Diceros bicornis minor: one gene and its partners. Each later gene encodes a partner of the first gene's protein in a complex. Links are inferred from orthologs where the notes say so. Each region holds a gene or a part of one and is shown in the gene's direction. Other genes may lie near its edges. The genes, in order: GPKOW, SNRPD2, SNRPD3 and SNIP1.

Region 1 (6,848 bases):
CAGTGTGAATCAGGATCACCTGGAAAGCTCGTTAAACACAGATTGCTGGGCCCTACCAGAGTTTCTGATTCAGTAGGTCTTGGGTAGGGCCTGAGGATTTGCATTTCTAAGGAGTTCCCAGGTGCTGCTACTGCTGCTCTAGAAAACCACTGCTCCAGAGTAGCTCTGTGCAATAGACATTTAATAAGAGCTACAAATGTGAGCCGCATACGTAATTTTAAGTTTTCTAGAAGCCATAGTAAGTAAAAAGAAACAGGTGAAATCAATTTTAATTACATGTCATTTGACCCAATAGATCCAAAATATAGTCATGTACTGCGTAATGATGTTTCCGTCAATGACGGATCTCATATACGATGGTGGTCCCATAAGATTAGTACCGTATAGCTTAAGTGTGTAGTCAGCCATACCATCTAGGTTTGTGTAAGTACACTCTATGATGTTCACACAATGATAATATCACCTAACCACACATTTCTCAGAATGTATCCCTATAGTTAGGCAACGCATGACTGTATTATCATTTCAACATTTAATCAGTATTACAAAAGTTATTAATGACTTATTTTATTATCTTTTTGGAGGATTAAATCTTCAAAATCTAAAAAAAAAAAAAAAGAAAAAAGAAATACCATATGATCCAGCTATTCCACATCTGGGTATTTATCCAAAGAACATGAAAACACTAATTCAAAAGGTATATGCACCTTTATGTTCATTGCAGCATTATTCACAATAGCCAAGACGTGAAAGCAATCCAAGTGCCCATCAATGGATGAATGAATAAAGATGTGGTATATATGTACAATGGAATACTACTCAACCATAAAAAAGATGAAATCCTGCCATTTGCAACAACATGGATGGACCTTGAAGGTATTATGCTAAGCAAAATAAGTCAGGCAGAGAAAGACAAACACCGTATGATTTCATTCATATGGGGAAGATCAACACATAGACAAGGAGAGCAGATTGGTGGTTACCAGAGGGGAAGGGGGTAGGGGGAGGGCAAAGGGAGTACAGGGGCACATGTGTATGGTGACGGATGGAAACTAGACTTTTGGTGGTGAACACCATGCAGCTATACAGAAGCCAAAATATAATGATGTACACCTGAAATTTACACAGTGTTATAAACCAATGTGACCTCAATAAAATAATACATTACAATAAAAAAGTGTCTTTTCTCCCATTGCATTTTCACCACAAAGTTTTGGTGGTGAAGCAACCCAGGGTAGCTTGGCGTGATCTCCAAGGTATATGTCAGGAGCAAGCCAGAGACCAGGTGTGAACCAGCGGAGAAGGCAAGACTCTTTCAAGGACCTCTGGCCCCAGCCTGTATAAGCCTGTATCGTGCACACTGCCTCAGGTGGCTGCTTCAGGAAGTGAGTATCACTTCAGCCTTGGACAGTTAGCCTCCCAGGCAATGTTCACATCATTAGTAGTAAGATATAATGTCATGAACCGCCTGATATGATGTGATGAGAAGAGCACATCACCTCTGTGGCGTTATTGCCAAAAATCCATAACCTCAGTCTAATCGTGAGGAATCATCAGATAAGCCCAAATTGAGAGACATTCTACAAAATAACTGAACTGTACTTTACAAAAGTGTTAAGGTCATGAAAGACAAGGAAAGACTGAGGAACTGTCATAGACTAGAGGAGACTAAGGAGGCATTACAATTACATGTAATGTGTAATCCTAGATTAAATCCTGGAATGGATAATGGTCTATAGTTTAGTTAATAGTATTGCACCAATGTTAATTTTCTGATTTTGATAATTATACTATTGTTATAGAAAATGTTTAGGAGGATCTGGATAAAGGATATACAGGAACTCTCCATACTATTTTTGCAACATTTCTTTAAGTCTACATTTATTTCAAAATAAATATTTAAAGATTTTTGGTTTTGTCGTTGTATATTGAAAACCACAGTGGCTTCACCTTTGAGATTCCAGGGCCCATCCCAGGATGTCTCCCAGGATGCTAGGGACTTCCAAGCCTGGAAACATGGCCATGAGATTGACTGAATATTGGGCTTCCCGTGTTCAAGACCATCCCCTCACCCACCATACTACTCTACTTTCCAAACATTATGACTATGTCCCCATTTAGTTTAATTATATTTATAGCTTCACATTTATTTATTTATTTATTTATTTATTTATTTATTTATTGTGTGTGTGAGGAAGATCAGCCCTGAGCTAACATCCAATCCCCATCCTCCTCTTTTTTTTTTTTTTTGCTGAGGAAGATTGGCCCTGAGCTAACATCCATGCCCATCTTCCTATACTTTTATATGGGATGCCGCCACAGCATGGCTTGACAAGCGGTGCATCGGTGCGCGCCCAGGATCCGAACTTGCGAACCCCTGGCCGCCACAGCGGAGCCTGCGCACTTAACTGCTTGCACCACCGGGCCAGCTACAATAGCTTCACGTTTAAAGGCTCTAGGAGGGCCGGCCCGGTGGCTTAGCGGTTAGGTGCGCACGCTCTGCTGCTGGCTGCCTGGGTTTGGATCCCGGGCGTGCACCGACGCACCGCTTCTCTAGCCATGCTGAGGCCGCGTCCCACATACAGCAACTAGAAGGATGTGCAGCTATGACATACAACTATCTGCTGGAGCTTTGGGGGAAAAAATAAATAAATAAAATTAAAAAAAAAAGGCTCTAGGGGCCGGCGGGTGGTGAAAACGGTTAAGTGCGCACGCTCCACTGCGGTGGCCAGGAGTTCGCAGGTTCGGATCCCGGGCGTGCACTGACGCATCGCTTGCTAAGCCATGCTGTGGCGGTGTCCCATATAAAGTAGAGGAAGATGGTCACGGATGTTAGCTCAGGGCCAATCTTCCTCAAGAAAAAAGGGGAGGATTGGCATCAGATGTTAGCTCAGGGCTAGTCCTCCTCACACAAAAAAATTAAAAATAAAAAAATAAAGGCTCTAGTATATTCGTTCCATCCAAGGCATGTGCTATAATTAATTTACCCTACTCCCTTCTGTTGTTCATTTAAGTGGTCTTCAAGCTTTTCCTACTATAAATAATACTATGATGAATCTCATATAAAAATCTTTTTGCACATATTCAATGATTTCTTTGGGATAAATTTTTAGCAGATTTGTAGTATTCTTTTTTGTGACTATTTGTTTAAGTATCAATCTTTTACTTTACAAACTCCCGAGTAGTGGGGACTACAGGCGCGTGCCACCGCACGTGGCTTTACAAACTCTTAAGGTCTTACACAAGAGGAATCTGTCTCAGTAATCTTTTGAAGCCTTAGAACCTGGATCTCACAACATATTTAATATCAGTAGGAAATATTTTTTTAAAAATATCCTTTTAAGTGTCATTGTTTCCCATTGGACTCCAAGCTTCTAGAGAGGAGGAGGTCTATTTTATTAATATTTGAACCCAGAGCTTGTCGAGTATTAAATGTAGCATCGGTAGGCACCATTTATATGTCTATTTATTATTGTACACAAATTAGCACTCACAGATTTTTTCCTTACTGATTTATTTTACCTACACTTCCCACACCAGTAGGGCACGGTAACGTGTACACAGTAGGCGATCAATAAATACTTGTCAAACGCTTACACGAAGGAAGGAATACCTGGCAAGAATGGCTCCACCTTCTACCACGCCTACCTCCCTGAAGAACTACATTTCCCGGTACGCTTGGCGCGACACGCTCCTACGAATTAAAAAGAGCGACAATTACTTCCTACCGACCCCTATCCGCCTCCGCCTGCCGATGCCGCAGTGTTTTATGGGAAAGGTAGTTCTGGCACGCGTTGTCCGCCCCCGGAAAACTGAGCCCAAACTAAACTTCCCAGCAAGCAGCGGGCCGGCCTGGGAAGAAGGGAAAGATGGCAGACGCCGAGGAAGGAGTTTTGCGGCTGGCGGGAGCCTCCAATGCCCCAATTTCATTCAGCTTCAGTCGCACGTCCGCCCGGAGACGGCTGGCGGACCCGGGAGATGGCGCAGGTGCAGCTCCGGAGGAGAAGGATTTCTTGAAGACCGTGGAAGGGAGGGAGCTGCAAAGGTGAAGCGCCGGGTCTTTCATCCTTTGGAAATCCGTGCGGTGGGTGCAAGCAGGAAGGTGGAATCTGAGTTGATTGTGTTGGTGACAGTGACCTGAAAAGGCTGAAGCACAGCCTGAGGAAATTCGTGGAGGCAAGAAGGCGAGAGTTTGTAGGAGAGGTGGGGAAATATAGCCTGATGGCCTTGGGGATTGAGAAGAGAGAATGTATTCTTGAGGAGTGTCTTTAGGACTTGGGGACCCTGAGGTGTGTGCGTTCTGAGAGCAGGAAAGGAGGGGAGAATGACAGGACCCCAGCGTCTCAACTGAAGTGGTGCTTCTCCGATAGGGGGAACGGGACGGAGCAGCAGATTCAGGTTGGGGGAGTCCATCATCAGCTTAGTTCGGGAAGGAGAATCTGAGGGAGGTACTTCCAGAAGAGAATCAACCATCCAGGAGGCTGGCGTGGAGCCTGGAGCTGGGGAGAGAGTCTGGGCTGAAGATGGTGATTTGTGGGTTATTGTGGAAGCCATGGAAGTGGGTCTTGGGAGGAACAGAAGGTCCAGGACTGAGGACTGATTCCTCAAAAGCACTGACATTTAAGAGTTGGACATGGGGAAGAGAATCTGAAGAAAGCACCATCAGAGACGTAACTGGAGAGCCAGACAGGAGAACGGAGGGTGTGGTCCGTGGGGTTGGGGGAGAGTTTGGCTCTTGTGTTTTCTCTGAGTGAAGCGGTGTGGCTCAGAACCTACTGACAATGCTACTCTCCCAACTTCACCCCTCTGTGTCCACGTCAGTGTGAAGCCTTCAGAAGCCCCCAAGGAACTCATCATCCCTTTGATCCAGAATGGCCATTGCAGGCAGCCACCGACCCAGGCCCCTAGGCCATCCACAGATACTGAGGCCTTGGCGGATGGGGTGCTGTCCCAGGCTGTGAAGGAGCTCATTGAGGGTGAGTGATCTCCCCTTTGCCTTGCCCCAGTGAAGGAAGAAGGGGAGGAAAATGGAAGGATAGAGTGAGACCTCATTGCTCCCTCCCATTCTTCCTTAGAATCCAAGAAGTCTCTGGAGGAGAGAGAGAATGCGAGTGTCGACCCCACGCTCGCTATCCCCATGATCCAGAAAGGATGCACCCCCAACGGGGAAGAGGCAGACGGCGAACCCCGGGCTGAGACAGTGAGCTGGCCCCAACCCCTCTCCTGCCCCAGCCTTTCTTTGCCCTGTCTGCCAGGCTTGCCTCCCTGCACACAGCAGGGAAAGTCTGTGTGTACTAGCCACCTGCTGCCTATCCCCTCCTCCTTCCATCTTTTTTGGAAGCATTAACAAATGAATCCAAATACTGAGGCGTGAAAAAGTAGTTGGATTCTGGGATTATCTGAATGACATGAGGAGTAAAGGAAACAGGAAATATAAAGACCCTGAGGATAGACTCTTCCTGGGGTGTTTGAGGAACACCAAGGAGACAAGTGTAGTTGGAGTGGAATGAGTGAGGAAGAGGAGGAGTAGATGAGGTCAGAAGTGGGGGGCTAAACCAGGCAGGGCATTGTGGGCCATGGTGAGGACTTTGGCTTTTACTCTGAATGAGATGAGAGCCATGGGAGGGCTCTCAGCTGAGAAGAGATGAGACTTATGATTTGACAGGATCTCTCTGGCTGCTGTGAGCAGGACACACTAGTAAGCAGAAGTGGAAGCAAGGAGACCAGTAGTCCAGGCTAGAGATGGTGGTGACTCAGACCACAGTGGTAGGAGTCAGGCCTGGAAGGACAGGTAGGGTTTAGTGAGACAGGGAAGAGCAGGATGAGTACTCCTAATGGCAGCGATGACCCAAACAATGGTATGGTGGCAGGAAATCAGTGTGGTGTGTGTCTGTCAGTGAGGCAACTTGTGGTGTGTCTGGAGGGACTATAAAGAATTGAGGGAGTGATGATGGGAGGTGATAACCGGAGAGATGAGGGGCGTGTCTACAGAAGTAACCAAGTCTGTCTTGCATACCCATAGACCCCACTTTCACCTCTTCACTCACAATCTTTTTGCAGTGCTTCTTTGGAGCCCAGTTCTATAGCCCCAGACCACCTTCTCTTTCAACTGAATTGTTTTCATCAGCCTTCAGATGTCCTCTGGTTTCTTTTATCTGAAAAAAAAAAAGACTTGCACTTCACTCTCCATTCTGTTCCAGTTTGGTCTCATTTCTCTGATCTTCCCTCCTTTCGCAGCCTTCCACATCTGAATTGATCACAGTTCCAGCCACCCTTCCCCTCACTCAGCCTAAAACCTTAGAGTCACCCTTGACTCCCCTGTTTATTTTATACCCCATAGACAACCTGTCAGCAAAATCCTATCATCTCCCTTTTCAAAATACATCCAGAATCTGACCACTTCTCACCATCAGCACCACCACCACTCTGGTCTGAGCCACCAGCATCTCTCATCTGGACTCTTGAAGTTACTTCCTCACTCGTCCGCCTTGTGGCTGCCACCCTCTTGTGGCTCCTGCCCAGCTCTCCTGATTAACCTCTTACCACCCCTCTCTGCCTCCACATCTCTGTTTCAGTCAGGTTGACTTGCGGGATGCTCTTCATACATACCAGATCTTGTCCTCCTTTAGGGCCTTGGCTCTTACTGTTCTCTCTGCGTGGAACACTCTTCCTTCTCATATCCTCGGGCTCCCTCTGTCATCTCCTTCTGCTCTCTGCTCAGATATCAACTCAGTGACACTCCCTTCTTCATCCCTCTGCGTGCCCTTAAGCTGCATTATTTTTCTTCATATAACTCACCACTACCTGACGTATCGTGTTTTGTGTCTTTTGTTTATTGTGTGTCTCCA
Region 2 (7,330 bases), on another chromosome or scaffold:
CCTCCTCGCCGTCCAAGAAGAGCAGCTGCAGGGTCACCGGGGCCGCCTGCGGGAGCCGGTGGTCAGGACCAGCTCGCTGCCGCCCCCGCCTCAAGCCACCCACGTGGCTTTCCTGCCCGCGTGCACAGCTGAGTGGGGCAAACCAGCCAAGAGTACAGACTCTGAACCAGGCCGCCTGGGTTCAAATCCCGGCTCAGCCGCTGCGTAGCCGATGAGCCATGGGTAAGTTACTAACTTCCCAAAGCATCTGTTTCTTTATGTAGAAATGAGGTTCATCCAGGTCTAATCACAGGGCGGGATTCGAATCCAGGTCCTCGATCAGTGTCTGGCCTATAGTAACTAAATAAGGGTTGGCTCTGATTATTTTCATTATTCCTCAAGCTTGTTTAGCGAAAGAGACAGACCTACAAATGAATAATTATACAAACAGTGAAATGCAGTTGAGACACATGCTTCCGAGAACTACAGGGTCCTGAGAGCGCGTAGGAAGGGGGCGGAGGATAACCTCGCTCAGGAAGCACATCTGGGTCTGTTGGGAAGGGATGTTCGCGTGGAGAGTGAGTGGGAGCTGGTCTGGCAAAGTGGAGCAGAGGGAAGAGTGTTCCCAGGCAGGGAAGCAACATGGAGCAGGGCTGGGGCGAGAGGGGTTTGAGAAAAGGCCCGAGGGTTCAGCAAGGGCCAGGGAGCTTGGGGCACTGGGGTTTGAGCCATGGAAGGGGCTGAGCAGGGGAGGAGCGTGAGGGGACTTGTGTTTTCGTTCATTCATTCCATACATTTTTTTTTTGTGAGGAAGATCAGCCCTGAGCTAACATCTGTGCTAATCCTCCTCTTTTTGCTGAGGAAGACCGGCTCTGAGCTAACATCTATTGCCAATCCTTCTCCTTTTTTCCCCCAAAGCCCCAGTAGATAGTTGTATGTCATAGTTGCACATCCTTCTAGTTGCTGTATGTGGGACGCGGCCTCAGCATGGCTGGAGAAGCGGTGCGTGGGTGCGCGTCCAGGATCCAAACCCAGGCCACCAGTAGCGGAGCGCGTGCACTTAACCGCTAAGCCACCGGGCCAGCCCCATTCCATACATTTTTATTGACCTCCTCCTCTATGCCAGGCAATATTCTGGGCCCAGGAAATACAGCAGGAAACAAAAGCAGCTAAGTCCCTGCCTGTATGGGGCTTATTCTAGTTGGGGAGAAAAACAAGTCAACATAAAGCAGCATAAAGCATGAGATAGTGCCAGGAGCTATTTTAGGGGGGTTGGGAAGGCCTCTTTGAGGAGGTGACTTTGGAGTGGACACCTGAATGAGGGTGGGAGCCACCCAGGAAAATGTCTGAGAAAAGCACATTCTGGGCAGAGCAAACAGCAAGTGCAAATGTCCTGCGGTGAGAGTGAATTTTGTGGGTTTGAGGTACACAGATGAGGTGGGTGGCTAGAGTGGAGTGAGCGAGGGGTGAGAGGTGGTAGATAAGACTAGAGAGGTAACAAGGCACACCTCATGGGCCACTATAAGGACTCTGGCTTATGCCAGAGGAGTGAGGTGGGAGCCATGGAAGGGCTCCCAAAGGGCAGAGGAGGGACAGGATCTGACATTCAGAAGGTGGAAAGATCCCTGTGGCTTTGTGTGTGGAGTAGAGGCAGGAAGACAAAACCAGGTAAGGGAGGGTGGTGGCTTGGACCAAGGTAGAGGCAGCCCCGACTCCCACCCTTCCCCTTCCCCCACTCCTCACCTGATTCTTGGCTCTGCTCAACTCCAAGTCAAGGGCTTGGGCCAGCTCCAGGAGCAGGGCGCAAGGCACAGCTGAATCTGTGGCCCCCACGAAGGGGGCTGACCCAGATGGGAAGAGCTTGGAGTCGTAATGGCAGGCAAGGGTGAGGTGACGGGCAGCCCCTGGGTCAAGTGTGGCCACCACGTTGCCAAAGTCCAGTGGCCCCAGGGGCGTCGAGGACGTGAAGGGGTCCAGCTCCACATGCCAGCCTGCCGTCAGGGCCCGAAGCGTGGCCTCCAGGAACTAGTGGCGAGAGAGGCGGGAGGGTGGGCGGGGACTGGGGAGCAGGGCCATGTGACCTGAGCCGTGCAGAGCAGCCAGGTTGACTCACAAGTCCCACTGTGGTTTAAATCATTCCCTTGACACACTTCTGCTGAGTCTCTACTGAGTGCCAGGGGTGGGGTGATCCCGCCCCTTGATGCCAACAAGATTAATCACAGCTCCCTCTTCAATAGCACTAGGAACCCTGTGGGGTAGGAACTGTCAATGGCTCCATTTTGCAGATAAGGAAACAGGCACAGAGAGGTTAAGAAACGAGTCCAAGGTCACACTCCAAGTGGCTGAGGTGAGATTTGAACTCAGGCAGTGTTCACATGACTATCCATGCTTTCTGGGAAGCAATATAGAGATGTTACAGCACCAGCTCTGGAACCAACCTGTTTGGGTTGAAACCCTAAGTATACCATTTATTAGCTGTGGGCTTTGGACAAGATGCCTAACTGCTCTGGGCCTCAGTTTCCCCATCTGCATAACGAAGATCACATTGGTACCCACCTCACAGGGCTGCTGCTTGTGCCTAGCACATAGCACGTTTTCGGTGGGGGCAGTACAGCCTGGTGATTACCAGGTGGGACTCTAGAGCCAGATTAGCTCCAATCAGAGCCCCAGCTCTGCCTCTTAGCTGCTTTGGGATCTTAGGCAGAATGCCTATCTCCTGTTCCCTGGCGGGCTGCGGATCAGGGGTTGGAGGCGGGGCCCTTTACCTTTCTGACTTGGAGATTGCCCGGGCTGCCCGGGGTCCGTACAACCAGCAGGGGGCGCAGATAAGCGTTCCAGAGACGCTGTGGGTCCAGTCGCCCCACCACCTTCCGCAGCCGGGCTTCGGGGAGGCTTCCGATCAACGGGCCCTTGGGAGTGGGGTGGGATGGGGCAGAGAAGAGCAGAGTGTGATAACAACCCCCATTCCGACCCTACCCCGGGCGCCGCCACCCCTAAGAAGCCCCAATTCCTCTCGCTAATCGCGGTCTCTAGCATCGGAGGTTTCTAGGATAAATTCTAGACTCAGGAAAAGTCCCTCCAAGCCCATCCGGTCCAGCCCACCCCAACCCTGATGGGGAAATCGAGGTCCAGCGAGAAGAAGGGACTCCGCCAAATAGCTGACTTTAGGATTAGAACCCAGAACTCTGTCTTATTACTCCAGACCCTTCCTCTTAAAGCGGAGCCACTGTTACAGAACAAGCCCGAAGCTTCATTCCATTGGCAAGGGGCGTGCGATCTAATGACCGAGACAGTGGCACCTGCGGTTAGGGCCATACGAGAAAGCCACGTCAACCTGAGACCTTAGGGAAGGGGAGCCGGGGAATGAGGGCCCCCGCGGTGCCCGCCCCCCGCCCGGCCTCACCCGCAGCTCCCGGGCCGGCGGCGGCTCCTCCGTCCGGCGGTGCCAGCCGCTCCAGATGGTGTAGAACGCCCAGGCCACGGCCAGCGCCAGCAGCAGCAGGGGCAACAGCGGTACCCGCGGTAGCAGGCGGCGCTTGGGCGGTGAGGGTGGCTCCAAGAGGCCGCGTTCTCCGGGCCGTGGCCGGGGCCGCCCGCGGCCCCCGGAACGCATGGCAGCTTCGCCCTGAAACCGGTCCGGGACCGCGGATAGAATTTAGGCCAAGCCAAGTCCCACCCCATGAAATCAGCGGACCAAAGAACAAGAGCGGCTGAACCATCCGACCCTCCTGCCAGCACTGAAGCCAATGGGGACTCCCGCTCTGAGGACACGCCTCCCCGTCTCCCGCGGGCTTTGGGGTTGGTTCCCCCGGAGGGCTGCACAACCCAAAAGGGAGCGCGGAAGGGGTGGACTCCGCCTCAGCGGAGGAGGAGAAGCCAATGAGAAGCGTTTGATCACGTTAAACAGGCGCCCTCCGGGGCGCAGGTCCACGCCCCTCCGGATGTAGGCAGAGGATTGGTTACGCGGAGTCGGAAAGATCAATAGACACGTAAATAACCAGCCCCCGAGGGGAAAGGGGCGGTGTCCATCCCTGAAGCGAGGAGCGGATTGGCTTCGCGGAGGCCGCGCCCCCGGAGGCAGGGCCGGCGGGTATTTGGAAACGGCGTGTCCTTTCCCTCCTTCAACCTGTGCCGTTCTACGACAAAATGGTTTGGGTCGAACCCGCTTTCTTTTCCTCTCCGTGGTCGTGAACATCTGCCCCATACGGTCCCGAATGGCCTCGAACCACTACGCAGCACTCGTCTCCCGCCGCTGGGCCGGGCGGGCGGGGATCGCTATGGCAACAGGCCACGCCCCCAGTCGCGGGTTGGGTGTGCGCAGGCGCCCACGGAAGTGGGCTGCCGGAAGCGGAAGTCCCGCCTTTCGCTCTCTCTTTAGAGGCAGAAGCAACGCGGAGAAGACGGGAGTGCGTTGAGAACGCAGTCACTGCCACCATGTGAGGCCGGGCCGGGCTTAGGTGGCGGGAGTGGGGTTGAGGGTGTAAACTGGGCCGCTTACCGGTGGAAGGGGGTGGGCAGAGCGGGGGGCGGGGGCAGAGAGTTTAGGGTTAAAGTGGCGTACTTTTCTCCTGATGAGTTTGCGCACGGGCGTGGGGCCTTTGGCGGATCCTGACCTCGGGAGAGGGAACGGCTTTATCAGATAACGGGCGAGGGCTTTCCCAAATGCTTAGTCTTGTTGAAATGAATGTTAAGGGGCAGTGATTTTACGAATAAAGACCCTGGGAGAGGGCAGTGCGGACTTGTAGGAATAAAGGTTTGAGGTAAGGGACTTAACCGGATCTTATGAGCTTTACGACCTAATTCGCGACTTTTACGGATAACGAGTCCCCGGAATGATTTGACTTATTTATTCATTTAGTAATTATTTATTGACTGCGCATGTATCAGGCACTGCTTTAGATACATCAGTGAGTTGTCTCCCTCCCAAAGAAAAAGTCCGCCGCTGCAGCTTATGGGGTGGGAAGAAGCATAAGTGTAATGATAATAAACAGGTAAAGTATATGGTGTGTTAGGTGACCAGGGCTATGGATGAAGAAATAATGGAGCAGCAGAAAAACAATGGGGAATGCCGGTTTTGAGAGACTGAAGGACACAATGAGGAGGCATCACTTGAGCGAAGACCTGAAGAAAGTGAGAGAGCGAACCACAAAGATACCTGGGCGGGGGGTTGCTAGACTGAGAGAAAAGCAAATGCAGAGGCCCAGGATGAAAGTTTGCCTGATATCTTCAAGGACCGCGGAGGAGGCCACTGTGGCTGGAACAGCCAGAAGGGGGCAGATGTAGGGCATTGTAAAAACGTTGGATTTTACTTTTTACACCAAGAAGGGAGCCATGGGAGGGTTTTGAAGAGTGAGATGATATGACTTAAGTCTGGAGAACAGACTGTTGGGGAGCATGGGTGGAGGCAGGGAGACCAGTAAGACCCTAGGAGAGAGATGACGGAGCTTTAGGCCCTGGTAGGAAATGGTCAGATTCTGGATATATTTTATTTTGTCGTTTTCTGGATATATTTGAAAGGCCCATGACAGGACTTGCTGACAGATTGAATGTAGGATGTGAGAGAAAGAAAGAGAAGAGTCAGGTCGGTCCTGTGGCGTAGTGGTTAAGTTCCATGTGCTCTGCTTTGGCGGCCCAGCTTCATGGGTTCAGATCCTGGGCACAGACCTACACCACTTGTCAGCCATGCTGTGGCAGCAACCCACATACAAAATAGAGGAAGATTGGCACAGATGTTAGCTCAGGGCTAATCTTGCTCAGCAAAAAAAAAAGAGAGAGAAGAGTCAAGTTGGCCTCAGAGTTTTTGCTTAAAGAGCTAGAAGGGTGGAGGTGCCAGTGACGGAGATGAGGAAGGCTATGGATAGAGCAGATCGGGGTGGTTGGGAGATCTGGAGCCCAACGTAAGAGGTGCAGGGTTAGAAATGTCGGTTAGGCAGCCTAATGGTGCTGCCAAGCGAGAAGACTGAGGTGGGGGGGGGGTTGGGGGGGTTGGGGCAAGGTCGGGAGGCCTGAGCACAGGCCATGACCACCCACGCTCCAGCCAGGCCCTCTCACTCACGGGTTCCGTGCTTGCCCACTCAGGAGCCTCCTCAACAAGCCCAAGAGTGAGATGACCCCGGAGGAGCTGCAGAAGCGGGAGGAGGAGGAGTTTAACACGGGTCCCCTCTCCGTGCTCACGCAGTCCGTCAAGAACAACACCCAAGTGCTCATTAACTGTCGCAACAACAAGAAGCTCCTGGGCCGTGTGAAGGCCTTCGACAGGTGAGCGCCTGGGTCTTGGGAGGTGTTCCGTCCAGGCCTGGAGAAGCACTGCCAGCTGCCCTATAGGGAGCTGGAATAAAGCATTTCTCAGAAGCCCGGGGCATAGTATCTCAAAACCCCGAAGTGTGACTGTCCCCCATTGCCCTTCCAGCTGTGAAGTGCAGTGGTTATGGCCACGTACTTGGCAGCCAGTCCTCCCGGGGTCACGCCCCAACTCTGCCTCTTAGCAGCCATGTGACCTTTGGCAAGTGACTTTCATCCATACAGTGGCAGTGATCATGGTGGTTGCAAAGATTCAGTGACTTAATATAGGTGAAGTTTAGTGGGTCATTAGAAGTACAGCATCTGGCGCACAGGATGCTCCTGATCCTTTTTTGCAGTTGTGACATAGCGTGTCCGCCCGTGCCGGGTACTGTGTGAGGCTCTGGAGATATAGCAGTGACTAAAACAAACCTGGGTCCTATACTCAGGGAGCTTATGCTGTAGGTAAGAAAGCCAGCAGCAAACACATAAATAATGTGTCATAAAGACAGATGATGACAAGTTGTATGAAGAAGAGTAAAGGTAAGAGGGTGGAGTTCTGAGAAGGGGGTGCTGTCTTAGATGTAATCAGAGAGGTCTGGTCGGAAGAGGCAACAGTGAACAAGTTGAATAAAATGAAGGAACAAGCGGGGCCAGCCCCGTGGCGTAGTGGTTAAGTCCCGTGCTCTCCGCTTCAGTGGCCCAGGTTTGCAGGTTCAGGTCCCAGGCGCGGACCTACACCACTCGTCAAGCCATGCTGTGGCAGCAGCCCACATAGGAAATAGAGGAAGGTTGGCACAGGTGTTGGGTCACGGCTAATCTTCCTCAAGCAAAAAAAAAAAAAACAAGATTGGCACAGATGTTAGCTCAAAGCGAATCTTCCTCACCAAAAGAAAAATAAAGGAGCAAGCTAGGGTCTGAGTGTTTCAGGCAGAGGGAACAGCAAGTGATTTTTCCTCTCTGGGCCTCAGTTTCCCTATCTGCAAAACGTGCATCATCATAATACCCCTCATTGTACAGTTGTGCAGATTAAACGTTATTATGTATGAGAAATACTTGGCTCAGTACCTAA
Region 3 (7,892 bases), on another chromosome or scaffold:
AGAGCTCCCACTCCCCAGAAGTCTCCACCCTTTGGCATGAAACCCTATGTCCTGCCCACATACTGCCTGGACACAACCTGAGGCTGCCTGGGGTGCCATGCTGACCTCGGAGTTGAGGGCCTAGATTGTGCTTCTTGAGTCTCTTGCAGGCTGTGTGACTTTGGGCAAGTTGCCGCCCTCTCTGGCCTCATTAGCTTTGTTTCTAGGATGAGGTGCTTGGACCACGTCAGTGATTTTCTAAGTTCTAGGCACAGACACCTTTTGTTGAACCTTTTCTTGCCTGGAACTCCAAGATATAAAACAGGTAAGGGAGAGGCTTCTCTGGGGTTCCAGGCAGCCACCTAAAAACTCTCCTACAAGGACATGGCTATGGTCCCTTCAGGCTCTGATGGTCAAGGTTCCTGTGATGTTCACACAGCCTCAGCTTAGCAGTCAACTCCCCAGTGACCCAGTCTCCCAGGAGCCCGAGGCTGGAAGGGTGGAGGGCCCTCTGTCCCATCATGGGGTGACTCTGTGGGCCAGGCCTAGGCACCTGGAACTTCCCTGACCATCCCCAGAGCCCTCAGGCATTTCCAGAGTGGAGACCTGGAAGGCCTGGTCCACTTCTTGTTTTTGCAGATGGGACTAAGCCTGGTTGGAAGCTGAACTTCCCACAAGCCCCAACAAAGGACAGCCACATGGATGATGAATCCCACCCAGGTCTCTCCCTCTGTCTTCCCCAACCCGGAGAAGGTGGTGTGGATGGGGAGGGCCTCAGCCTGCCCACTCACCGCAGCACCATCCTGGAGCAGGCCAGGCCACAGTCCCAGTGGTAGAGCTGCTGGATGATGGGCACGGGCAGCTGCACAAAATCCCCTGCATGGAAACACAGGGAGGTCACAGACCCTTGGCATAGTGCCCACCACTGCTGCCCCCATTGGAGCCACCGTCTTTGGCTCCTGCCCAGATCTTGCAGGGGTTGTTCAGGGGCCAGCCCACAGCCTTTCAGGCCCCCCGACCCTTTCTCCTTACAATAGCAGTGATCTCCCAAAACACCAGTCGGAACAGCTCAGCCTGACTCAAAATCCTCCAGTGGGTTGGTTCCCATATCTCTTAGGACAATGCCTTCAAGGCTGCTGCCCCAGCGCCCTCTGCTTCCTCACCTCCCCTCATCCTCAACAGGTCACCCTCCAGGCAGACCTTCAGCTGCTGTGATCCCCTATGCCTCTGGGCCTTTGCATACCTACTCCCTCTGCCTGGACTCTCTTGGCATCACAGGCGCCTGAGCTAACTCCTGTCTTCGGACGTCACTTCTCCACGACGCTGCCCGTCATGCTCAGCCCCCCCACTCTGTGCACTCTCAGAGCAGTGGGAGCTCCAGGGAGGCAGAGATAGGGCCAGCACATGAGAGGCACTCAGCAGATATTCATGTCTGAATTCACGAGGCCTCTGGAGGTTTGCCTGACTCCAAAGTCCCCTGGGCCAACAATGTGTGAAGACCATAGTTAGGAGGAAGGGACTGTAAGGTGATCAGTGTATGTGGAAAGCTATCCTCGGCAACCGCTCAGTCTGTCCTTGCCAAGCAGTGAGGCGGAGCAGAATGGGCCAGACCTAGGCATTCTAGCCCTGGCTCTGTCACTGGCTGGCTGTGGGCTGAGTAGCTGACTTCCTCTTGCTGGTCTGGGTCTGGCCATCTCTAAAGTGGGGGACTTTGGTCTGATTCAGCCATTCGATCAACAAATATTTCCCAAGAGCCTGGCACATAACTGGAGATACAGTGGTGAGAGACATAGACAGGGCCCTGTCCCGGTGGACAGCAAAAACAGGCAAGTATAAGAGAAAAACAGGGGACTAGACTAGGGAAAAGGGTGAGGTGTGCCTTAGAGAGGCAATGCTCAAAGTCTCCTCCTCTAAGAGGCTTTTGCTGACTATGCCTTTGCTGTAGGGGGGGCCCTCCTTCACAGCATCCTGTTTGTTTCCTTCACAGTACTTAATAAAAGTAACAACAAAAAAAAACTAAAGCTACTTTGTCTCCCCACTAGACTATAAGCTTCCTGAGGGCAGAGAATTTGCTAATCTTGTTCACTGTTATTTCCAGTGCCTAGTGTCTAATGCTTAGTAGTAACTCAATAAACATTTGTTGGAAGAAATGAACTTATTAAACACCCACTGTGTGCTAGCCTCTGGGGACACTAAAGGTGACCAAGACCCAAGCCCTGTCCTCCAGGGATTCATATTCTAAAATAATTCCCCCCAATGAGCTGAGTGGAAGGAGAGCTCTAAGTAGGGTGCTGTTCCCTCATGGTGGGATACCTCCCTTATCAAGAACCCCTCACTGTGGCCATAAACTGCCCTTTTTGTTTTTCTCTACACAGGCTGTTTACTCCTCAGCCTTTGCTCTTGCATATCCCTTAGTCAGACTGTTATCTCCCATCTCTGAATGTCCAAATGCTCTGGTTTCTTTCCCTCTCTGAGCCCTTCAATATGGAGTATTTGAGGTGGTGTCTGCCTTCCCCACCAGACAGGCCAAGAATTCCTCAGTGACAGGCAGGGACAGGGTTGCATTTGTCTCTTCCCAGCCCTAGGCCCAGTGCAGGCATTCATACATGCTCGGTGATTGGAAGGCGTTTTTCCAAAAAGGCCTTATCCCTTGCGATGTCTACTTGTCACTGCAATGCTCCCCCACCCAGGCTTCCAGACTATGGACCTCTGTTCACAGCTCCCTACTTACTTTGTGGCCTGGGCTCTCACATCAGCTAGCTGGGCCATCTTTGGCCAGGCTTTGACTCTGTCTGTGCCTTCTCCTATGCCTAGCTGTAAATGTGGCATAGGACAGCTCTCTGTAGGGCCCTCAGGAACTCCACTGCCCCTCCTCTTCTTGCCCCAATCCCTAAAACACCTTGATCCTGAGACCCGGCAGGGCTATACATCCCCACCTGACCATCCCAGTCTTGGCAGGGGCAGGTCAGCCCAATGGAACTCAGAGATACTCCTGTGGGGAGTGATAAGGGTAGGTGAGGCCTTCCAAGCCCAAAGCTGCTGCCAGTTGTTGATGCTTGGAGCCAAGGGACTGTCTCACCTGAGAGCTAGCGTCTGCCTGGAAGGCCCTGGCCTGGCTTCAGTTGGCAGGTGTCGCCAAGGAAGGAAGGCAGCTCACTGGCCCTGGATACTTAACCCCTCAGCCTCAGTCTGCTCATCTGCAAAAGCGCAAATAACGATGGTAACCTACTTCATGGGGTCGTTATGGGGATTAACGAGGCACTGCATGTAAACAATTTAGCACAGTGCCTGCCCATAGAAAGCTCCCCACGAATGTGAGCCATTACTCCACGGAGGCTCAGGAAAGGCAAGCGCCTGGTCCAAGATCACAGAGTTGGAGGAGTAGGGATGCAAATCCCAGGACAGCATCAGACCCTACTCCTTGTTGTAATCACAAAAGAGACCACTCCCTAGGTGGGACACCATGGTCCCACTGATGCCTTAGGGTGGGGCTGGGCATGCTCTTGACCTCTCCCATGAGCTGGTACCTCACTTTAAAGTTTACTAGCTTTAGAGTTTACTTTCTCTTTCTCATCAACCCTACACCTCACCCGGAGCAGGAATCACTACTTCCTCCCCCACTTAGAGAAGCAAACTGTGGCCCACGCACTGGATGTCAGTCTTGGTTTCCGCCCTAAAGGAACTCAGACCACCTTGGGGCAGAAGGAACCAGAGGATGAGGACTGTAGCAAGACTAAAGGCTAAGCCGGGGAGGCCAGGGGAAGGGGACCTCCCACTGCTGTGTTCTCGGCCAGCTCCCCGCCCTTCTAGGCGTCAGTTCTCCCACAGTTCCCCTAGGGGACAGGATCTACCTGCGGCTCCAGCAGGACTTTTCGCTTCGGGGAAGGTGGCGCCCCTGCCTCACAATCAGGACCCTCCCATCACGACCGCTATCAGAACTACTGGGGTCCCAACCCTGGGAGTAACAGGAAACACCAACTGATGGCAGCTGGGGAGAGTGGGGGCCCAGGCGGGAGTGTACACCTGGCCAGGTTTCACTCAAAGCTCTACAGCCTGAGGCGGCGGTCAGCCCAAGGTCGCGCAGCCAGACCCTGCCCCGAGCTAGGGCGGGGTCCCCTCGTTCCCCGGGGTGAGGGGTGGGCCCTCGGGGAAGCACTGACCGGACTCGAGCGGCGCCCCCGCTGCCTCCGCCTCCGTCCTCATGACCCGGGCGGCGCGGGGCGCCCATGGCCCCGGCCCGGCGCCGGCTGCAGCTTCGCCTTTGGCTGGGGCGCGAGCGGGGCCGGCGCGTGTCGTGCTCCTCTGCCGCCACTGCCACCGCGGTGGGGAGAAGGGGAGGCGGCAGCTGTGCCGCCCCAAGCCCCGCCCCGGCCCTTCCAGGCCTGGGATCCGGGGGCCCGCCCCTTCATTAAGCCCCTCCCCTCCCCTCCCCTCTCCCCGAGTCCTGTTCTTAGAGGCCCCCAAGCCTCCTGCTCTAAGCCCGCCCCCGCCTTTCGCTGTCTCGGCTTCTGGTGGCCCCGCCCCTTTCCCAGCCCTCGCGCAGACGCGCAGGCCCTTCTCCGCCTCCGTTCCCCGGAAGCCCCGCCCCTTTCCTGAGCCCCGCCCCTAACCCCAGCGTTCCAGGAACATTGGCTCCCCAGAGGCTCTTCCCTTAGCAAGCTCCGTGTCTGCCCAGCCCCAGCCTCAGGTCTAAGGTCTGGTCCTGCCCCATACACCGCGGGCCTCGGGAGACCACGACCCTGGGCCTGCCCCCGCTCTACTCTATACCTGTTTCCCTATCCGTACGGTGAGATAGGTCGCCTCAATCAGGACGCCCCTTACCTAGAGGTGCCGGGTTCCAAAGATTAAATTGTGAGGGGAGGTCTTGGACCCTCGGCCCCACTGCCTGCCGACCCCGATCCCCGCCTTGCGGTGCAGTCCGTCCCTGGTCTGGGGTGCTAGGAAGCGCGAGTCGTCCTCTCCCCTTGCCGCCCCGGGGGTCGGTGTTTCCGGCAGTACCTGGGCCCGGTCATCAGCCGTCCATTCCGGGGCCGGAACTATCATACTAGAGCGCACGTTTCCTAGCCGGCGGAGTGAGGAGGAAGGAGAGACGAGACCGCGGTCACCGCTAGGAAAAGGAAAGGGGCGGGTCCTGCGCGAGGCATTTTGGGAACGCGTGGTATTCTGGGAGCGCGGGCCCCGCCATTAGTTCCCCACACGCTTACGCGTTCGCCAGAGTCCCTGCCGCCCTAGAAAGGAAGAGGAGGCCGGAGCCGGTGAGGAGAGGCCGGGGGCGGGCGAGGGTAGGCCGAGGCACCCGTGAGGGCCCGGGGGCTGGGGAAGGAGGCGCTGCCGACGAGCTCTGCAGGGCTCGAGGAGGGAGAAGAGCGGAGAAGGCTGGGCCACCCGAGCATCAGCGGTGCCTCCCTAGCGCCTGGAAGTGAGTTCATTAGCTTTTCCCCAGAGTACATGTTCTTCGCCTTCTATACCTCTCCAAGTCAGTGTTTTTCGAAGCATCCAGGCAGTAGTCTTGAAATCATTCCTGGCTGGTTGCCTCCTTCCCCAAATCCTACCTGGGTAATCTTTTTCAAAGTTCTTTGCATCTCTGCCTCCATCCCCCTTTCAGCCGCTGGTCCTCTCCTGCTTTCCACGCTGTTACAGAAGTTCTGTCAAGTTTCCCTGCTTCTAAACCGTGTTCGATCCATTTTGTTGTAAGTGCTGCTGCCTTTTCATTTGATCATTCCTTACCTATAATCCTGCAGTGATTCCCCGCTGCCTTCAAGTATAAAATCTAGACTCCTAAAGCTCCTCACCAAGGGAACTTGTCTTTCCCAACCTCGTGTTCCCTTTCCTGTCTTGACCACACATAATATGTTCCAACCTTCAGTCGTTGCTCACCTTGGAATAAAAAGTCCACTGCTTGTCTCTTCTGTGACATCAAGTCAGTCACTTACCCTGATTATATTTTTCCTACCTGGATTTCCTGCACATTGTCGCTTTGTGAGCACTTTGTATTTTCTTTTTAGCCTTGATGGTGAAGTAAGTGGAGGGTCATGGGCACTTAATGGGTTGAATTGAATGCACAGCCTCTTCTACCAGATTTGCCTGGATCCTTTGGTCTGTATCTGAATTGCCTGATACTGTACACATGTGCCCAATACTAGTACCCACATGTAGCCACTGAGCGCTTGAAGTGTGGCTAGTGTGACTGAGGGACTGAATATTTTAATTTTATTTCATTTTGATTGAGTTTAAATAGCTACATGTGGACTGTGGCTACTGTATTGGACAGCTCAGGTCTATGTCATGAGTTCTCAAAGTGGTGTTAACCACAACTATGGGTTGACAGATACCTTGTATGCACGTTCATTCCAACCCCCTTTCCCCCAACACACAGTATGGTTAATGGTTATTTGATGAAGATAAAGGGACATATGGTAGCAGGGAGGGAGATGGAAAGTACTTTCTTTTCATTCCCAGGCCCCCTCTTTCCCCCTACCCCACATCTTGCATGTGTTTGCCAGATAGGGTCCTCAAGCTAGGAGTTAAGCTCTATTTTTTTTTTTTTTTTTGGTGAGGAACATTGGCCCTGAGCTCATATCTGTTGCCAATCTTCCTCTTTTTGCTGAGGAAGATTGGCCCTGAGCTAACATCTCTGCCACTCTTTTTCTATTTTGTATGTGGGACGCTGCCACAGCATGGCTTGATGAGTGCTGCATAGGTCCGCACCTGGGATCCGAACCTGTGAACCCCGGGCCGCCTAAGCAGAGCATGCAAAGTTAACCACTAGGCTACTGGGCTGGCCCCTTAAGCTCCTTTTTTCTATAGAAAGTGCAGCTTTGGCATTTTTACTAAGTTTTATGGAGTGTCAGGCCTTGAGGGAGGCATGGTGTGTGCTACATGCCTTCTCAGGCTCTGAAAGATGGACTAACTGTTGTCTGTTTCACCGTAGAACTCTCTTCCTGCCAAGATGTCTATTGGCGTGCCCATTAAAGTCCTACACGAGGCTGAGGGTCACATTGTGACATGTGAGACAAATACCGGTGAGGTGTATCGTGGGAAGCTCATTGAAGCGGAGGACAACATGAACTGCCAGGTATCTTGCTTTGCACATGAGGCTGGGGGGAAGCTTGGGCCTCTGTCTTGGACAGAAAGATGGTGATTGGAGGTCTTTTTGAAGTTGTTCTCATTCCTCGGTTATTTATTGAGTGCCTGATGTGTGTTAGGAACTGTTATAGTGGCTGGGCATTTGGGCATAAATAAGAGCCATTGGGAATATTTAACTTTGTGCTTTGTTTTCTCCATCCCATAATCATTTTCTTCCATATTTTGGAGACCTGTTTAGGAAACATAGCTCTACTACCTTCAGTAGAATCCGTCAGGATCGGGGCCATTATCCATTTGCCCCTACACATTTGCGTAATGCTTGGTGCTAAGCAGAATCTTACACTCACGTGCTATGTTTGCCATTTTTCTTGGAGGAGGCATCTTGTTTGATTATAGCAACTACCTTGTGAGGTAAGCAGAATTGGTGATAGGTTTGTCATCCGTATAGTAGGGAGAATAAGATTAATAGACTCATCTACTGAATGTCAATCTGCTAATAAATGTTGGGGCAGCTTCCTGATACAATGCCCTTCCCGTGGCACGATTTTGTTTGCCTTTTGCTAATAATCACGTGAGTTTGTATAACATTGCTTTACAAAGTGTATCAGCACACTTTCTCTCTTGTTCTTTAAACCATCACATGTGGGTTTAAATCCTAATTGTCTAATCTTAGGCATGTTAATCACCTCAGTTACCTTATCCGTAAAATGGGAATGGTGTTATTTTGAGTTGTCTGAGATGTAGATGCCAAGACAAAATTAGTTGTGCAAGAGACTTATTGGAGGAACTGACAATAAAGGAGAAGGAGTAGGGGTAGGCAGGAGAGT
Region 4 (7,862 bases), on another chromosome or scaffold:
GCGGGAGCAGAAATGCACCACGTCTGCTGCAAACCACACTTCCCACTGGGAAGGGCTCTAGGGTGTGTCCTCCTCACTTGGAGTCAGGCCTCAGGGAGTGGCCTTGAGTGGCCCCAGGAGCCCTGCCATGCAGCCACCACTCTGAACTTGGCTCTTGGGAGCACAGGCAGTCAACAAGCCCCTTGTGGCCAGGGCAGAGGGAGACAGGAGCCCTAGGTTTGTTTGCAGCCATGGGGCCCCTCTCTTCCATCCTCAGCCAGAAACTGGGTACTATTCAAAGAAAGCTGCCTTTTTCAATTTGAAGATGGTGGCTGTTTTAAAGTGGCTGGGAAATCCCCTTGGCTGGACTGGGTTGGGGCTGGCAACAGCGGGGTCTAGAGCTCGCCCACCCGTCTCCTCCATCAAGGCTGACCTGGAGGGCCAACCATAATCATACGCCGACTAAAGGGAGCTGCTAGACTCTGCAGCTGCCTCAGGGTTTGGAGGTGGTTTGCATGTCAGAGTCCACACCGGCCGGTGAAAGTGGGCGAGGGACAGAGACATTCGACACCAGCACTTGTGGAGGGAAATCTTAAATCCTTTGTATCCGTCGGTTAACAACACATTACCCTGAAATATTTTTCTGGACCAAGGGCCAAATGTTGATAGATGGATATAAGTATAGAACATTAATTTTTCTAATCAAAAAATTAACACATGCTTATTATAGAAGTCTTGGAAAAAAACGAAGATTTAAAATGGAAGTTCTCATCTTACTCCAAACAACTGCTGCGGGATGAAGAACCAGGTTGTCAAGTGGGGGACTGGTAGGTGGGGGACAGGTAGGAGAGGTGGGGCTGGACGGGGAGGGGGCGCATGTAGCGGTCCCTGGGTGGGAGGGACCAGATGATTCCAGGATGGGATAGGCTGTAGCTCGGGGATACTCAGGGCTTGGGTCTGTGCTGAAGAGGAAGGGAAGGAGGCAGGTGTCCCGTACCCCGCCCCCAGCCACTCACCGAAACACTGCAAGTAGAGCTCCCGGCGGACAGGGCAGATGCCGGTCTCCCTGGCCTGCCGCTGCTGCAGCTTCAGGTCCAGCTGTTCCTGCAGGTGCACCACATCCATCCTGGTGCTGGGGGTGCTGGACACCTGCTGGATCCATAGCTGCGTGTCTTCTACCCACTCCCTGCGGCACAGACACAGCCAGCCTGAGCAAAACCCATTGACCAGAGAGGGTCCTCGAGACATGAGCAGAGAAGGCCCTTTGAGCTCTCTGCCTGAGAGGTGTGAGGGACAGCTCTGTCCTCGACCCACCAGAATCTTCCATCCTTCTCTCTTCCTTGGGGAGTGTGTGGTTTCAAGGCCACCCTCACTATGCTGCCTCCACAAAGCCTCTACCTTGGAGCTGGGCCATCTCCACTCTCCCACAGCCCTCCATGAAATCATCACCCACGTTCCAAATCTTACCCTCTTTACATGTTGAGGACAGACTTATGGTCGTTGTTGATCTCAACAGAAGGCCCAGTGGGAATTCTCCACTGACTTGTCGGGTGGGAGACACAGGGCACCACAAATCTTGTGCCAGCCAGAAAGAGGCAAATGTGTGTACTGGGGAGAGGGGAGGTTCTTGAAGGTGTGTGCCTATGTGGGCCTCCCCACGATGAACCTTGTATCAGAGGCATGGCCAGGTTCCAGAATTACAAGGAAGGAGCCTGAGGATAGAACCGCCATGGGGGAGAGAATTTCCAGGCATTGGTAGGAGGGCGTCAATTGAAAAATCACCCACTCCCCTCTTTGACCCCCTTCTCGGAGGAAATCGCAGTCTCTCTTTTACTGTTTCTCCTTTCCATCATAGCCTTAAAAACTGTGCTATCAACTTATTACATAAAAATAGTCAAAAAGGCATGCCACATAGTGATAAATGTGGCTGTAGAAGAGAGAAGCCAGGTAAGGGGATGGTGAAGAAAGAAGGCGCTCTTTTACAAGGATGCTCAAGGAAGGCCTCCTTAAGGAAACGACATTTGAGCAAGACCTGAGTGAAGAAGAGAACCAGGCAGATATCAGAGGAAGAGTGTCATTGGCAGTGAGAACAGCAAGTGCCAAGGTCCTGCGGTGGAAGAGCGATGGAAGTGTTTCAGAAACAGCAAGCAGAGGCCTCTGCGGCATTAGCACAGTGAACAAGGAGGAGAATACCAGGAGATAAGATCCTGGGTCTATCAGGAGCCAGATCACGCCAGCTCTTCCAGGCCACTGTAAGGACTTTGGATTTTAGCCTGAGCGAAATGGGAAGCCATTAAAGAGTTTCTAGCAGAAGACTGGCATGATCTGACTTATGATTTCAGGGCAGTGTGCAGATTAAATTACAGGGGCAAAGAGTAGAAGCAGGGTTTTCAGATAGGAGGCCATTGCAGTACTGCAGGTGACAAATAGTGACAGGAACAAGATGGTGGAAGCAGAGGTGGTGAAAAGTGGCTGGATTTGGAATATAATTTTAAGGTGGAGCCAAAAGAATTTGATGAAGGATAGGACATGTGACATGAGGGACCAAAAGGAATGGAAGGTGGCCTGAGCGCCTAGTAGAAAGGAGAAGCCTGGGGACGAGCAGGTTGGAGGAGGAAGAAATTGTGATTTAGTGTGGACATGCTGAGTTGAGATATCTATTAGACATCCTCATGAAGATAATGAGGAAGCAGTAGAACATATGGGGCTGGAGTTTAGGGGATAGGACAGAGCTGGAAATGCACATTTGGGAGCCATCAGCGTATAGATGGGATCTAAAGCCATGAGCCTGGGCGCGAGCCCTCAGGAGATGAGGATGGATAGAGAAGAGGTCTCCTCCCACCCTCTCAGCATCCAGCCATCTGCAAGCTCTAGGAGCTCTGGGATGCTGGGAGGAAATCCCAGCCAGGAACAGAGACAGACTGCCTCCTCCCACATTCCCAAGTTCTAGGATGCAAAAGCCTGGGCCTTCTCCCAGACACTGCTCCTACTTTTTTACCTTGGGGGCAGGATGGCATTCAAGATTTCTTCAGCCTGCTTTGTAGGATCTGGGACACAGGAAGTTGAGGGGACCTTGGTTTTTGGTGGCTGCGGGACTGGACCTGAGGGTCCAGGCTGCTGGGGGCTGACTTTCAGTGGCCGAGCCTGAGAAGAAGGGACAAGTTAGGGCAGGAGGTGACAGACACTCAGCTCCACACATCCTGGCCTTCTGGATTGCTCCAGGTCTCCTGCACATCGTCCCCTATTCCCAGCTCACTTTCCCCACCTGTCTTCTCAGCAGAAGTTACATCTCAGAGCTGAAGGGGGCCATAGCCTCTGGTCCTACCCCAACCCAATGCTTGTATCTCCTTGAAGTGATGTTTCTGGCACGGGTGCTCAAGCCTCTGCTTTCACACCTCTAGTGATGGGTGTGAAATCACTACCAGATCTATTTTGGACCCAGCTACCATGAAAAAGAGTAAGCCCCATTCATCTCCCTGTGACTTCCTTCCCCATTCTAAATCTGCCCTCTGGGGTTACCCAACATCTGGCCTTCTTGTAACGCTCTCCCACACTCCTTCCCCCGTTCCAAGTCCCTTTACTCCCAGCCTCTGTCCCTCGGGACTCCCTATCCTCAACGCGGGGTCTCTCTTCTCATTGGAGCTTCGGGCTCCTCCGCCCCCTGAGACCCGTCCTTACTTTGGGACTCCGTTTCTCCGTGTTCCGGCTCACCAACACCGGGGTGTCATACTTGAGCAGAGAGTCCGCGGGGGGAATCATGGCGGCGGCGAAGGTAGTAGCCCAGCGGCGGCCCCTCGAATCATGGCCCTGTTTGCCATCACCATGGAAACCTCTCCTAGCCTCATGGCCTGGGCGGGGCTTCGGGGTGGGGCGGGGCCAGCGGCGCGGGAGTTTCTGCCCAGCTTTTCCCGTGCTTCGCTTGTCAGGCCTCCTGCTCGCCGGGTCGCATCGGTACTCTTGGAAGCAGAGAAAACGGATTCGAGTCCCTGCGCTGCGTCTAGCTCACAATTCGAATAAGGTGGCAGATCACCTTCGCTGACCCCCGATTTTGTCACCTGCAAAATGGGAGTCATCTGACTCCTCAGTGAAGGATTGAGAAAGATTCCCAGAGGAGGGCCTCTGGAGTTCCCCGGTTTTAAAAAGTATTTGTGGGGGCCGGCCCCTTGGCTGGCGGGCTGCACTTCAGTGGCTCGGATCCCAGAGCCCGGAACCCGCAGCACGACCTACACCACTCCTTAGCCATGTTGTGGCAGTGCCCCACATACAAAATAGAGGAAGATTGGCACAGATGTTAGCTCAGAGCAAATCTTTCTCACACCAAAAAATAAATAAATAAAATAAAAAGTATTTTTTAATTAAATGGAGAAATGACAACATAAAAGAAAGTTCAAGAATAGAGGGGAAATACTAATGATTTGCCCACAGGCTATCACCTATGATTGCATTTCCTTCTCTTCTCCTTTCTTTCTCTTTTCAAACGTAAACATAGCCACAATTTTGTATCCTGCTTCTTTCGTTTAACAAACCAGGGTTTTTTCCATTTGTCATACAGTTTGTAAATAGCACTGCGAATGGCGACATACATCCATCAATCGGCTAAACAATTTCCCACCGCTGGGCATTTCGGTTGTCTCCGTGTTTAGTAATTACTAATAACGCGACAACAAACAGCCTTGAGAGTAGCTTTTTCGCAGAAGTTTGCTTTTGAAACTCAAAACTCCCGCCACCTGAACCGGGTCCCTACGGCCCCGCCGACTACGGAGTCGTGGTCACGTGTCTAGCCCCTCCGCCGCGAGGGTTTCTGGGAGAGCGCGCACCCCGGAAGCGGAAGTGCGGGGGGGGGTGTAAAGCCCGTCATTTCCTTCAGCGAGAGGAGCACAACGGACGTATTTTCGCTTCGCTCAGCGGGTCTCTCAGCATGAAGGAGGTGAAGAGCGAGCGGGAGCGGGGGAGCCGGCGACGGCACCGGGACGGGGACATGGTGGCGGCGGCGGCGGCCGTGGTGGTGAAGCAAGAGCGACTCAGCCCGGAAGCAGCGCCCCCCGCCCACCGCCGTCCGGACTCCGCCGGCGGGAGCCCGTCCCCGCCGGCCGGCGAGCCAGGCCGCCCGGGTCACCGCGGGAACCGAGCCCGAGGAGGTAGCCGGTAAGTGGGAAGCAGCCCGGGGTGGACCTTACGTCGGGCTCTGAGAAGGGAGGACAGGGCTAGCGTCAGAAGCACACCTTGAAGCGAGGGCAGCAGCTTGGACTTCATCCTAAGGCGGTGGAAGTGACCCGCTAGTGCTTGGGTTAAATGTTTACTCCGGTACCTGTCACTTGCGTTATAGCTGGGCGTTAAGCGGCTAATCTAACGAGCAGGGTCCGCCCCTTCATCTCTGAGTGCGCAGCATTTCGCGGAGTATGGCCCAGCAGGTAGGACTGACCATTTAAGTTGAAATGAAAGATTTTCCCCATGTGACTGCAAATGGAGTGCGGGCGTTGTCTTTTCAGTCATCTGCCCGGAAAGGTTTACACATCGAGGGCCTAGGCGATCTCCCTGATAGAAATTCTGGAAAAAGAAAATTGTTTTCTACTGGATTGGCTCATTTATTCATTCATTCAACATAGTTTTACCGAGTACCTGTTATGTGCTCAAGACTGGGGCTGTAAGGGTGAACAAGGTAGGTGGCCTTTACCCTCGCGAAATTTGATGTGCTCTAGCCCTGAGACAAAATAACAAGCAAATAAAATAGTTTCAGTTAATGACACGTGTTAGGGATAGGTTAAAACAGTCATGTGATAGTGAGAGATTGGAGGGAAGTGGGAGAAGGCCCCTCCGAATAGGTGCCATTTGAGCTGAGACCTGAATGATAATAATCCAGCCATGTAAAGATGTAGGCAGAGGAAACAACATGTGCAAAGAACCTGAAGTAGGATGAATTGTAATTGTTCTAGAAATAGGGGGGAAAAAAAAACAGCAAACCCCAGTGTAGTGATCAAGAAGAGTGGTAGGAATGAGGTGGGAGAGGGAGGAGATGGAGCCGGAGCTGATGGGTTGAATGTGATTGTGGGGGAAGAGTAGGGAGTGGCTGTTGGTGGTGAGGAAAAAGAAAATCAAGGGTGACTTCTAGGTTTTTGGCTTGAGGAAGAGGGTGGATGGTGGTGCCAGTTACAGAGATGGCAGAGAGGAAAGACAGAGAGGAAATTTTTTTTTTTTTTTTTTTTTTTTTTTTTGCTGAGGAAGATTTGCCCTGAGCTAACATCTGTGCCAGTCTTCCTCTGTTTTGTATGTGGGACGCCACCACACCATGGCCGATGACTAGTGGTGTAGGTCCGTGCCCAGGAACCAAACGTGGGCCACTGAAGCGGAGTACGCCGAACTTAACCACTAGGCCACGGGCCTGCTCCAAGGAAAGGTTTTTGAGGGGTTGGGAATCAAGAGTTATGTTATGTAAGTGAGAATATTCAGTAGGCAGTTACATATGTGGGTCCAGGACTCAAGGGAGACGTTAGGACTAGGAAACAGAAGCTCCTGGCTCCTTTGTGTGATCGGCAGAGACCTTCACAAATGTGTTTGTGTTAGTAGGTGAGCCTGATAGTTGCAGCTAATTTGTGTGGAGGAAGGGAAATCGAGATAAAATCCTGTGTGTCCCATGCTCTGAAAAGGTCCCCAGCCAAAAAGAAAAACAAGTCCTCAGGGAGAAGAAGCAAGTCTCCTAGGAGTAAGAGAAGCCGAAGTCCTCACCACTCAACAGTCAAAGTGAAGCAGGTAAGTGGATTGAAATGTTTTGACACTAGGTGCAAATCTAGAGCCTCTTCCCATCCTAGCTGGAGAGTGTTGTGTATGTGTTCACCTGTACCTGCCGTGGGCTTTGCTAAAAACTGGTTTTGTTTTTGGTTTTTTTTTCTGCTTGCTTTTTTAAACTGAACTTTTTATTTTGAGATAGTTGTTGATTCACAAGCAGTTGTGAGAAATAATACAGAGGTATACTCTTCATCCTGTTTCTCCCAAAGGTAACGTCTTACAGAATTATAGTACAATATCGCACCAGAGTATTGACATCAATACAGTCGAGGTACAGAACATTTCCATCACCACAAGCATCTCTCATGTTGTCCTTTGTAGTCATACCCTCTTCCCTCCCACCCATACCCCTCAACTCCTGGCACCTTTTTATCTCTTCTCCATTTCCATAATTCTGTTGCTCAAGAATGTTATATAAATGGAATCATACAGTATGTAATCTTTAGGGACTGGCTTTTTTTACTCAGTAAAATTCTTTGGAGATTTGTTCAGGCTGTTGCATCTATCAGTAGTTCATTCTTTTTTATTGCTGAGTGGTATTCAATGGTATGGATTTAACCATTTGCCCATTAAAGAACACCTTGGTTGTTTCTAGTTTTTGGCTATTACACATATGGCTGCTGTATAAACATTGGTGTGCAGGTTTTTGTGTGAACTTAAGTTTTCATTTCTCTGGGATAAATGCCTAGGAGTGCAGTTGCTGGATCATATGGTAGTTGCATGTTTAATTTTTTTTAAGAACTTGCCAAATTGTTTTCCAGAGTGTCTGTGTTAGTTTGCTAGGGCTCCCATAACAAAATACCACAGATCGGAAGGCTTAAACAACAGAAACTTATTCTCTCACAGTTCTGGAGACTTGAAGTCGAAGATCAAGGTGTCAGCAGATTTGGTTTCTTCTGAGGCCTTTCTCCTTGGCTTGCAAATGGCTACCTTCTCGGCTGTGCCCCCCCATGGTGTTTCCCCTGTGTGCTAATATCCCTGGTGTCTCTTCCTTTTCTCATAAGGACACCAGTCGTATTGGATTAGGACCTCACTTTCATTTTAACTTAATCCTTTAAAGATCTTATCTCCAAAAAAATGGTTATATTCTGAGGTGTGGG

The links.
Region 2: GPKOW (region 1) and SNRPD2 share a complex: the UniProt entries of both Homo sapiens proteins name them as parts of the minor spliceosome. The link is inferred for Diceros bicornis minor from reciprocal best matches to the Homo sapiens genes GPKOW and SNRPD2.
Region 3: GPKOW (region 1) and SNRPD3 share a complex: the UniProt entries of both Homo sapiens proteins name them as parts of the minor spliceosome. The link is inferred for Diceros bicornis minor from reciprocal best matches to the Homo sapiens genes GPKOW and SNRPD3.
Region 4: GPKOW (region 1) and SNIP1 share a complex: the UniProt entries of both Homo sapiens proteins name them as parts of the minor spliceosome. The link is inferred for Diceros bicornis minor from reciprocal best matches to the Homo sapiens genes GPKOW and SNIP1.

Annotation. Positions count from the first base shown.
Region 1 is NC_080781.1:42,340,975-42,347,822, reverse strand, and holds the start of GPKOW (G-patch domain and KOW motifs-containing protein), read left to right. Parts: upstream 1-3,831; 5' UTR 3,832-3,869; coding exon 3,870-4,045; intron 4,046-4,821; coding exon 4,822-4,976; intron 4,977-5,075; coding exon 5,076-5,200; intron 5,201-6,848. UniProt on the Homo sapiens protein: RNA-binding protein involved in pre-mRNA splicing. As a component of the minor spliceosome, involved in the splicing of U12-type introns in pre-mRNAs.
Region 2 is NC_080773.1:19,907,276-19,914,605, reverse strand, and holds the start of SNRPD2 (small nuclear ribonucleoprotein Sm D2), read left to right. Parts: upstream 1-4,320; 5' UTR 4,321-4,413; coding exon 4,414-4,415; intron 4,416-6,057; coding exon 6,058-6,237; intron 6,238-7,330. Other genes in the region: QPCTL (glutaminyl-peptide cyclotransferase-like protein), read right to left, coding at 1-46, 1,723-2,004, 2,745-2,888, 3,383-3,592. UniProt on the Homo sapiens protein: Plays a role in pre-mRNA splicing as a core component of the spliceosomal U1, U2, U4 and U5 small nuclear ribonucleoproteins (snRNPs), the building blocks of the spliceosome.
Region 3 is NC_080774.1:28,860,899-28,868,790, reverse strand, and holds the start of SNRPD3 (small nuclear ribonucleoprotein Sm D3), read left to right. Parts: upstream 1-4,877; 5' UTR 4,878-5,234; intron 5,235-5,304; exon of another isoform or gene 5,305-5,398; intron 5,399-5,584; exon of another isoform or gene 5,585-5,669; intron 5,670-6,910; 5' UTR 6,911-6,928; coding exon 6,929-7,054; intron 7,055-7,892. Other genes in the region: protein GUCD1, read right to left, coding at 771-855, 4,140-4,182. UniProt on the Homo sapiens protein: Plays a role in pre-mRNA splicing as a core component of the spliceosomal U1, U2, U4 and U5 small nuclear ribonucleoproteins (snRNPs), the building blocks of the spliceosome.
Region 4 is NC_080752.1:51,594,305-51,602,166, reverse strand, and holds the start of SNIP1 (smad nuclear-interacting protein 1), read left to right. Parts: upstream 1-4,846; 5' UTR 4,847-4,897; coding exon 4,898-5,124; intron 5,125-6,623; coding exon 6,624-6,726; intron 6,727-7,862. Other genes in the region: DNALI1 (axonemal dynein light intermediate polypeptide 1), read right to left, coding at 996-1,165, 2,978-3,123, 3,658-3,738. UniProt on the Homo sapiens protein: Required for pre-mRNA splicing as component of the spliceosome. As a component of the minor spliceosome, involved in the splicing of U12-type introns in pre-mRNAs. Down-regulates NF-kappa-B signaling by competing with RELA for CREBBP/EP300 binding.